3 linked regions of the Kluyveromyces lactis genome follow. The protein of the gene in region 3 interacts with the protein of the main gene of each other region in a biochemical or structural test. Links are inferred from orthologs where the notes say so. Each region holds a gene or a part of one and is shown on either strand. Other genes may lie near its edges.

What was found.
Region 1: of the proteins of CDC5 (region 3) and MCD1, one has a biochemical effect on the other in vitro, tested with the Saccharomyces cerevisiae proteins (3 studies listed by BioGRID). The link is inferred for Kluyveromyces lactis from reciprocal best matches to the Saccharomyces cerevisiae genes CDC5 and MCD1.
Region 2: of the proteins of CDC5 (region 3) and MIH1, one has a biochemical effect on the other in vitro, tested with the Saccharomyces cerevisiae proteins (2 studies listed by BioGRID). The link is inferred for Kluyveromyces lactis from reciprocal best matches to the Saccharomyces cerevisiae genes CDC5 and MIH1.

The regions. Positions count from the first base shown.
Region 1 is NC_006042.1:1,366,918-1,370,533, forward strand, and holds MCD1 (kleisin alpha), read left to right. Parts: upstream 1-1,276; coding exon 1,277-3,079; downstream 3,080-3,616. Other genes in the region: ATP16 (F1F0 ATP synthase subunit delta), read left to right, coding at 1-64; RQC1 (Rqc1p), read right to left, coding at 3,192-3,616. UniProt on the Saccharomyces cerevisiae protein: Cleavable component of the cohesin complex involved in chromosome cohesion during cell cycle. The cohesin complex is required for the cohesion of sister chromatids after DNA replication.
Region 2 is NC_006042.1:2,490,149-2,493,661, forward strand, and holds MIH1 (putative tyrosine protein phosphatase MIH1), read left to right. Parts: upstream 1-1,356; coding exon 1,357-2,976; downstream 2,977-3,513. Other genes in the region: serine/threonine protein kinase ELM1, read left to right, coding at 1-581; IMP2 (endopeptidase catalytic subunit), read right to left, coding at 3,110-3,513.
Region 3 is NC_006039.1:539,133-543,196, reverse strand, and holds CDC5 (polo kinase CDC5), read right to left. Parts: upstream 2,789-4,064; coding exon 662-2,788; downstream 1-661. UniProt on the Saccharomyces cerevisiae protein: Protein kinase required for the cell cycle where it is involved in mitotic exit. A component of the fear (CDC14 early anaphase release) network which promotes CDC14 release from the nucleolus during early anaphase. Phosphorylates SCC1/MCD1 and NET1.

The DNA.
Region 1 (3,616 bases), on a different chromosome or scaffold from region 3:
TGCTGCTGCCGAAGCTGCTATCCAACTTGAAGTTTTGGAAGCTTTGCAAGCCGCTTTGAAATAATTGAGATGAACGAAGAATTACAATTGGACCAAGGTATAATACACTTGATACGGATACTCTACTTGGAAGCAATTGTTTTCCCGGTTGATTGTAAACCTGTCTCGGCGTTTGTATTATCCTTCGTCTGCTTTTTTTTCATTATTCTAATTCCTATTATTCCATTGCACAAGCTTACACAACACAACGACGAATACATTTCATGATTTAGCCTAAAGACCCTTTTTTGTTGCTCCGGTCATTGTCCTTTCTTTCCATACAATACTGTAGTGTGAACGTACGAATAAGACTGGGAACTATTGAGAATTAACCTAAAACGACTATTACTAAAATATACAACGAATTAAAACCCAGCGAATTAAAAGAAATCAGAAGAAATAAATACGATAAAACCTAAAAATTCTAAATGATATGGAGGTTGATACAAGTGATGTCTCGATTCCGTTTCAAAAGGGGGTTCTAGTCTTTGTTTTAATGACCAACAAACATAAATCTTTCTTCAATATACTATTCCTTCCTTTCTAACAATATCAAAGAAAACACTGGATCGATTATAATTTGTCTATCCCCGTTAAAAATATTATCAATTAAGAACCGAATTGAAAGACTTAGATTTTATATTTTTTAGCAGAAACGATTTGTGTGTAACTGATGTCTAGTTTTAAGATTCATATTCATATATACCGATTAAACTGACTGCGCATACTGAGAGAGATGATCTGGTTTTGGCATCAACAAGAGTTAGAAAGGCAGGGTAATAAATGGGTATAAGGTCCTCACTTGTTACCCGGATTTTATACCACGAAATCGAAATTTTTCCGGCGGGAAATCTTTTGAGGTCCCAGAAAAAGACATTGTTTTCCCCCAAAAATATTTTCGCGATTTTTCTCCATAACGCGTTTCCGTGATGAGATCTATAACCAGCAATCCTTTAACAAATATCATTGATAAACACTGGATGAGAAGTATGTCTATTCCATCATATTGATTGCACCTTTACCAATAATTTTATCAAATATATATATTACCTATGGAATTTTAATGTCGTGACCTCTGAAAAAAGACACAGTGCTATTTTATTTCATTTTTATTTTGCTAACCATTCCTTATAAGATCAAGTTCTAATCTCGATCTTAAGTTTATATCCATTTGCTATACCATTTGCAACAGGAACCACGAGCCTTATATCACCTAATCCAAAAATAAACAACGTATATGCCACCAAATAGCAATTCACATACTCAGGTGAGATTAAATACAAGCAATGGGCCGTTGGCTCAGATCTGGCTGGCTTCCAATTTGAGTAGCATCAATCGGAACATTGCAAAGACTAATATCGTGGAATCTGTTGAAGAGATTGCCAAAGCTGCAGGTGTTAATCTAGATGATGAATCTGTGGAACCTATCACATTACGTGCTTCCGGTGAGTTACTACATGGTGTTGTAAAAGTTTATTCTCAAAAAGCATCCTATCTGCTTACTGATATCACAGACTTACTGAGTAAAGTGAAATCTATCTTCAAGGGATCGCTGAACAAGAGCGTCACAATTCAGCTAGATACAGTGGCAAAGTTAGATCAGCTTTTATTGCAAGATGCGGTTACAGAACTTGACGTCTTGGAGATGCCCAGTTTGGATTTCTTGAAAGATATCCAAGTGCCAGAAGGTTTTTTGATCGCTGAACGATCAATGGAAAGACAAGTGCAAGGAGCAGCACCTGTAACATCCGCCATTGCAGCACAACAACAAGCATGGGATATGTCCTTAGAAGTTGGAAGGCGATTCCTGGCAGATGAAGATGATGACTTGAATGCTATTGAACATCACGATTCATCTCATTTGAAATTAGATTTTGACCTTGGTGATTCTAATCAAAGCAATAACACTAAATCATGGGGTGAAGGGACTCGTGTTACTGCTAGTGAAGTAAACGCGGATGATGGAGAAAATGAAGGTGATTTGACTATTAGAAATGACAATGACGATGATGATGAATTGCTACCACTTAACGATGATTGGGATTTGGGATTAAACGATGATGATCAGAATATTTCTGGTAATCAGTCTAGCCATGGTAGCGACATGTCTGTAGAGATCGGGAGAAGGGCTGATATTACTCACTCATTGCATGATGATACACTCTTAGACTTTGATCTAGGGCTGCCAAAGGACACAGAACCAGAGCATCAAGAGCAAGCAGAGGCATACATACCACCTAGAGCAGTAAAGAAGAGGGCACCAAGGAATAAAGCCTTTATCAATGTTAAGAAGGTTCTCATAGATGCTGATGCCGAATTAAACGATTCTGAAGTGAAAGGAGGACCATCGGACTCAATTCTTATCGTTTCTGATGAGACTTCGTCCGCTATATCAAAGAAAAAAAGAGCCATCGATGAATTATACTCTGACCTGGACTTCCTTCCTCAAAAGATTATATCTAATTTCTTCAACCATAAAGCTTCAAAGAAGCCTAGAGCTCTGTCACAATCCAGCCAATCTGATGGGTCCGATGTTGATATAGATATCTCTTTGGGTATCGATGGAAGTTTGGTACACAATTCTGATCCATTCGATCACCAACAAATGGGCTTTGATGCAGAATCAGAAGGACCAGTGTTTGCTGATGATGAACCTCCAGTTCTTGCAGCTGATACATCCATGGAAGAAAATGATTACCAAGCCATTCAATCAGACGAATTTGCCTCTCGTGGGTCAATTGAAAAGGAAAAAAGTCAAAAAGTAGAGCTTGCTACCGGTGAAATCGTGTCTAAATCTACAGTGGAAATGGCAACTCTACTGAGAGATGAAATGAGCTCCGGTGAAGCTACTTTTGATAAAATCCTTACTTCGAAGTACCAGGATAACGCGGTAATAACAAAAAGAATGGCCAGTAAAGCATTCTTTGAGTTACTTTCTCTTGCCACCGCAGACTGTATATCATTGAAACAGAAGGAAACATTTGGACAAATCACAATTTTAGGAAAATCAAACTTATATGAGACGTTTGTTACCGCATAGACTTTTAATTTGGATACTTTTATAACGGACATTATGTATAAATAATTAATAATATCTGTTTTTTTAAGTTGGTTTAAATATACATGACGGCAGATCAGTTCAAGTTGTTGTGCTATTCGATTTCTTCATTTGGTTGTTGCTGTTGTTGCTGCTGCTCCAAGTATTCTTGTATTGATAACTGGTTAATGTGTTGTAAAAGCTCCTCATCAGCGAACCTGTTCATTTGGGATATTTCTAGATGTTTACTATCAATTAGTCCTTCGATTGTTTCTACTACATACTCACTTTCTCTATCATGTGGTTGTGGTGGTAGTACATCGAATTCAAACACAGAATGATCTGACCAAATTTCTTCGGGAATAGCAGCCATAACGGATGACTCTTGAGAAAGAATAGCAAACCTTAACAAATTAATTGGAATGTTATTGATGAAGAATGATGTTGGCGCCACGTCGTCATCATCATCGCCATCATTTATATCCTTCACTGCATCAGTGTCAAACGAAGTGGAATTAAAAATGCTTGCTAACTCATCAA
Region 2 (3,513 bases), on a different chromosome or scaffold from region 3:
TTGAAAAAGAACTGAATAAAATAGTGGGAACACCACTGTTTACAGCTCCTGAGCTTTGTAATTTCGCTGAAGGGTCAGCCCATGCTAGTAATGAGCAGCCTTTCAAAATTGATGTTTGGTCGCTTGGTATTACAGTGTACGCAATTTTATACAATGTATTACCGTTCTGGGGAGAAACTGAGTTTGACACATACAATCTGATCTGTCATCGGCAGTTGAAACCTGACGTTCATAACAGTTCAAATATTTATGGATGGATACATGAATACGTTGTTAACCGTATGCTATCCAAAAATACAGCTTCTAGGCCAACAACATCAAATATTTTGCGTACATTGGAATCTCATTCCAAATCTGAACTATCATCAATGAATAAAATGAAGTTGAAGCTAAATAAATGGAAAAAAAATCTACTCACTAAGAATAAAAATACCGAAATTCTTCCTACACAATCCTTCAAAGAGGATTTTTGTTCGCCTGCCAGTAGTATCAATGCTGCTTCGATCCCTCTTACAGACAAGAAACAACCATTGAATCGATCCCATAGAGCGACAGTTAATTTGGAAAAGTACATTAAATAGGTCAAATTCATAGATTACATAACCTCACGCACTCTCCGGCATTCACAAATAGATAAACCCTTAACTTTGACCTGCTGTACAGGGAACGCAACGGGATTCATGCTGTCCTTTTCTAACCTTGAATTAATGTCTTTTTCGCTAAGGTTTCATTTTGTTTACAATTGAAAACCCTACTATTTACGTTTCGCAAAATGGCATTATTAGGAAAAAAAAGTTTCTGTTTTTGTTTCACTCTGTGCGGTGATAAACCTCAAGATCTGGAGGTTTTAAATAGAATTGATCAAAAAGTCAAAAAGACATTAGCGCCTGTCGTATTCCTGTGATCAGCGCTAGTCATCGACTGGTAAACTGAAAGAAGGCTACTCATTAATTTTACTGATTTTGTCTCAATAGAAACTATTTGCGTAGACTTTTCTTCAGTCCGCTTGTGAGGTTCTAATCACCAGATTTAATTACCGACTTAAAGACCCACCTTTCTCAACATTGAACCGGGCATACCCAGAAGTTGAACTATCAATATACTCCTGAACACTTAACCGTCCCAACAGGCATTTCATTTCTCATATTATTCTGTTTTTCCTTTTTCCTTTTTGCATTCAAAGATCAGAATTCAGGTTTATATTCACCTCCCGCTCTTAACTATAAGGTACCTAGTTGCCTACTCCATTTACGACATTAAAGTATTATTCAACTCAGACTTGAAGCATATCTGCAAAGATCATTCTGCATTGTTTCTCATATATGTTTAATTGTCAGATCGTTCTATCGTAAAGCAATGAATAACTCTTTCGAGAATAAAAAGCCGACACGGCTCTTCAAGCACCTACACTCAATATGGTCCATATCTCTTCGAGGGAAATCTGATAAAGAAGCATATACTCAAAAGAGGTCTGTTACATCGGAATCCAAAAGGCCTATAGCCTTTCAAGGCGAGATATCCTCCACTGATAGAAAAATGGTCAAGTTGGCGGACTTCAAACAACAAACACTGATTGTTAGCGAAAGCGACTCGTCAATATCAATTTGCCAATCGCCATTAAGTCCGATGAATCTGAGAAGAGAGAACTCGCTTTCCCTGATGTCTCCAAATAGAGACACTGAAGAGTCTTCCAATTATGAAAATTCTAATGACGAGTCTGAGATCGAATCGCTTAATACACATGAAAAGTCCGATAAGATGCCCTATGATAATATGATGCTCAACAACAACGAATCACAAAACACGCTTTTATGCGATTATAATCCCAAAATGTCGTCAAAAGCTGTGCGACAGAGGAGTTTCAAAAGACGCGATTTGGCACCCACTATTTTAACCCAAAAAGCCAAGCTCAGACGAACACATTCTATGTTTACCAGTACGAATGAGGTAGAAATCAGAAATACACGTATTCCAATTTATGACTCACGTTTAGAAATTTCAAAACTACCAATTCACTACGAAGAACATAGCAGTGATAATCTACCGAGGATAACAGTGGAGACTTTACTTCAAATTATGAATGATGATTATAGCAAGTTCTATCAAGAAGTCTATATTGTTGACTGCAGGTTTCAGTACGAGTTCCTCGGTGGACACATTAAAGATGCAATTAATATATCGAAGCAAAAGCAATTAGAAGAAGAGTTTATTCATAAAAGACACATCAGATGTTGTGACAGTGAAAGGCCGCCATTAATCGTCTTCCATTGCGAGTTTAGCTCCTATAGAGGTCCTATAATGGCATCACATTTGAGAACCTGTGATAGAATAATAAATCATGACAACTATCCGAAACTTCATTTCCCTGACGTTGTCGTACTAGATGGTGGTTTCAAAACATTTTATGAGAAATACCCAAATAAATGCGAGGGTCATTATGTCTGCATGGATTCAAAAAATCATGAATTAGAATTGAGTGAGTTTAAAAGAGATAGTAAGAAGCTAATGACTCGAGCAAACTCAACTCAAATATTCCAGTTGAAAGACAAAATTGGAACCTGTCCTGTAAGTTTGAGCGATGTAAACAACGATTATAATATCCCACTCCCCAACAAAGTTACTACAGAAGAACATCAACTGACCAATGAACAAAACATCGACTATGATGAAGAGGCATCATATTTCAATTTCAGCATAAACGTGCCGCCCAAATTGTGCCTAGACAGATATGGCGAAGGTTCTCCCAACAATGGATTAAATTCATCAAAGAGTAGCAGCCTAAGTACAAGTAGCAGGCTATTATTCTCAGATGAAATAGGGACTGAGTTTAAACCAAAATTTCTGGAGCACGAAGAGTCTGATTTAGATTCAGATGGATATAGTTTCCAGTTTGGTGATGACGATACTGACGATAGAATGAGTAACATCACTGGGAAGAAACGATTATTCCCGGAATTAGTCAATGCGAATAAATAAACAAGGTACAACGATAAAATAAGAATTGAATTGAAATCCATAATCTCATCATTTCATTATGTGCATGCTTAATATGGTATATATACATAAATAACAACAAATTCTTTCTCTCTTCAGGTATTCGGTCTTTACGTCACGAATGTTCCATCGTAGGGAAAACTTTAATGTCACCTCTTCCTTCGCTCATGTTCAGATCTGCGCTCCATCTCGAAGGGGGCCATACTATTTTGACTGCTTTACCTAATGCTAAGCCAGTACTGATGGGGCCGAAATTGTTAGAGTCAACTGAATGGTATACATTATCACCTTCGACCCATAGATGATTTCTGGGAATCAGACAGGTATCCTTAGGATAAGGTGATCTAGTTTTCACCTGATCAAACTGTACGCCTTTAACACGTTTACAGTATACTTTCTTTGGATTCGAAGGGGATTTGAATAGTACTACATCATTTTCTTTCCAATTCTTGGCTTGTTTGAGATTAAACTTCCAAAGAAGAACCCAATCGGATTCATTATTGAACGAATCAGTTGGAT
Region 3 (4,064 bases):
AATTCATCTTTTCAAAAGAATTATTGAACCTCCTTCGGTTTTTCTCTATCCCCTCTTCCCTTCTATGTATTATTTTCATGAACTGTGTTGTGTTTCGGCTATAAAATAGGAGAGCGTATTACTATCCACCGTAAAGTTCAACGTTCATTGTGTATAGGACTATTTCTTTTGGGTTTTTTGGGTATTATCAGTACAGAATAGTGACCTTGTTTGCAATAAAAAAACCTTGGAAGGAACAAGATATTCGAATTTTGATATCTTCACATCTTTCTAACTTGTATACATTTGTTGTTACTTTTAAGATACAGTTTTTCTGGTGAGGGATCATGTTAAGATTCAATTATTAATTTATGTTAAATTAAACAAATTTATTCTGGCAGCCCCAGGCTTATTTCATCACAGATTCAAAATTAACTAATGAAACAATGAAATCTGACAGGTGAAGATATTTTGATACAGAATGGATGGCAGTTTTAGAAGTTGCAATCGGGGGAACACAACGATCAGGAATAGCTGGTATCATTTGGTATAAATCGTTGGATGCAGGAATGCGAAAAAAATACATAAAGGCGCTTGATGGACGTAGCCATACATGCTGGCTTGTACAACCAGATGAAGACATTCAAATGCAAATTGCATATTATCACAATGACATCCCTACCTAATGTATTGTTAGAACACTTGCTTTATCTCTCAAGCCCTCCTTCATTAGTTCTAGTTTCTCGAATATATCAATAGAAGGGAATCCTGGTACACATCCATCTATTAGAACACTCGAAAGCAGTAACGTTATCGTTTTACGATCAGATGAAATAAATGTTAAGAATTTACCTCCATGTGACAATGCAAATTTATTGTGATCCTTGAAGTTGAATTGGAAAGTACCATCACTCAACTCAAACATAACAAACTGTTTATAACGGGTGTATCTTCTCAAGAACACATCATCTTTATGATAAGTTTCACGGACCAGCGTAGAAATTCTACTCAAATTGGAGTTCATGTAATTTGAGAAAAAATCGACCACTTCAAGGTGTCTTGTTAATTCAATAGGTTTAGATTCTAATTTATAATGGCTTGCAACCCATCCTTCCTTAGTATCATAGTTAATATACCAGAATTCTTCCGCATCTGCTAGCTTTAATACTGTGGTTCCGTTGTTGAATAACACCCCGATATCGTCAGTTGATAACTGGTATGCAAATCCATGTTTGTTCGAATAGTCTACCCATTTTGTGACCACGATTGGGTCTTGTACGGTGGAGTCTGGAGAAGGATAGTTTGATTGCCTCTTATCTATTTCGGCACTCTTGATCCCTCGTAGTGTCATGTGGCATTCACTTGCAAGTATTTTCAGCGACATTTCGGATTTAATCATGTTAGTTGAAGTTGCCACCAACTCAGGCTTGAAGAATAGATTCTCTCCGGCTTTTTTCAGTCGATTTTGATATGCCATCTCGTTAAATTTTCTGTGGCCATCAAGATCGATAACTTCTTTATATTTATTTTTGGTTCCGCCTGGTGACAAGGATTGTGGTAAAACAGCTCTGTTTCTTTCTTCTTCTATTTCTGTTCTCACTAACTCAATTGGATTCTTACTACCATCATAAGAATGAGTTTGTGAGCTCTTAAGTAACCCTGAGTTTAGCATACATTGTTTCAAGTTAATCAATGACTCGCTGAAACTGAGGTGATCGAAATTTGGAATCTCCTTGGTTATTGTAGACGGTAATCTTGAAGGGAAAGTATTTCTGAACCATACGTTATCAGTTATTTCATATAACGATGGTCTGGCGGCTGGATTTAACTGTAAGAGATGTGAAATCAAGTTTTTAGCATCTGAGGATACCGGTTTGTCAGCTGGGAAAATGAAATCTCTACACTTAATTCTTTCATAGATTGTTTCAACTTCTTTTGCCTGGAATGGTGGTTTACCGAATAGCAATGCATAGAGCATCACACCAATTGACCAAATATCAACCTCATATGAGTGACCAGTGTGCTTTCCGGTGAGCACTTCTGGAGCAATATAGTTAGGTGTACCACAAATGGTATATTTACGCTCTTTATCATTTGCCAAGACAGCAGCAAGACCGAAATCACCGATTTTTAAGTTGTACTCTTTATCGAAGAAAATATTTCCAAGTTTCAAGTCTCTATGAATAACTCTTCTACTGTGCATATATCTTATGGCACCAATGATTTGGATCATACAGAATCTTACTTCAGGTTCCGTCAAATGTTTTCTTTGTCTTAATAATTCCATAACAGATCCGTTTGGACAGATCTCTAATAAGATATAAACGTTAGTATCATCTTCGAAACAGTCTGTAAATTGAACGATATTGGGATGTTTCATAGATTTGTGGATCTGAATTTCTGATAGTAATTTCCTTCTTGTCTTTTCAGATTTGATAGACAGTTTAGCAACTGTCTTCGCAGCAAATACTTTTCCCTTGTCATCCTTCATTTGGAAACAACGAGCAAATCCTCCCTCACCTAAGAAATGTCCTCTGTGGTAGTCCCGTCCTCTAGTCTTGATCAACGATGGAGGTGTTTTGCATAAAGAAGAGAGTTTTTCCTTCTTCTTTTTCTGAGGCGGCTGCTGACGATTGATATTATTATTATTATTGTTATTATTATTATTGGTGGGTTTACCATTCGTAGTAAGTCTATCTATATGATGCAGCTCAGTAACAACCCTTTTAGCCTTGATCGGTGTATGAATATTATTCGATCGAGCATTTAGCTGTTTATCGTTGATGATTTGAAGTGGTGGTGCAGACATGATGTCTGATTATTTTGTAGCTCTTTGATGGAATGATACTCCTGCGAGCTTTTGTTATGTCAAACACCCTTGTCGAACCAGTATACAAGAAATATCACTGCAATGTGTGATAAATAGTCTACACTTATCAACCTCCAGTAACTAATTTCTTTCTTGCGTGTATTTCCTTGGCCCGTCCAATAAATACCTTGCAATTAACGGTTTTGTGGCTCTCGATCAAAAAAAATGAATCTACGACGTCAAAGCACTGGCACCGTTGAAAAACTGAAGCGATTTAGGTTAACAACAGCAGAATGAGTACAACAACCAAGATTCTGACTGTTAAATGATGTTTCCGCTCACTGTAAGTCTTCCTTTCACCTGCAAGTTTGTAAACTAATATCAGTGATGTAAGTATTCCTAAGAATAATCGAACTTTCAACTGAATTATGGCAGTCGCAGTAAAAAAATGCTTCTAATATCAAAAGAACCCTTGTTATAAGCACTTGATACGTCTCAGGTAAGATGGTAACAATTAAAGGACTGAGTTCCCGCCCTCTCTTATGCCAAGTATGCTCTTAGGAAGTATGTAAAGAAAGACTGTATAATATTAGAATCTGACTTTTTTCCCTTCCAATATAATAGTATATTATACCAAACCCAGTACTTTTAAGCTGATATAAAAGCCAAACCAGTATACAAGGATACCCAAATAGTAATATCAATGACAATGAGCTACCGCAATTTACTGTAACTTCAAATTTATTCAAACCGACAAATTACTAGTTTTGTCAACTTTGAAAACACAAAACCGACTATTTACATTATTGAATTTTTTTCGACATTAACCAAATCTGTACAACGGAAATGAACAAAATGTAAACAATAACAAAACACTCAATGCGGTAAGTGCCAAAAACCCTTATTTCTTTAAAAGGACATTTTCCTAAGTAAGTATCTAATGAAAAAGCAAATAATTACCTTACCCGAATATTAGATCACGTGAGACTTTTTTTTTTTTGGGGGCAATTTTGAAAATTTACGGTTGTTCTATTTTCATTTTCACTTCTGCCCTTTACAGGTTAATATCTGTTGAATGTCTTGGATTCTTGAAAAATCAAATCTTCAAGCATTCGGTAGAAAAAGCTGATCTATTTTTTAGTAAGAGAAGAGGCACTGTCCTGATCAGCGCCTAAAGAAAACTAATAAAAAAGAAACATCCTAAACGGTCGAGAGAGTTCTATATTACTGGTGTCGGTAATATATCTACTTTAGAATTTCCTTTGTTTTATATTTA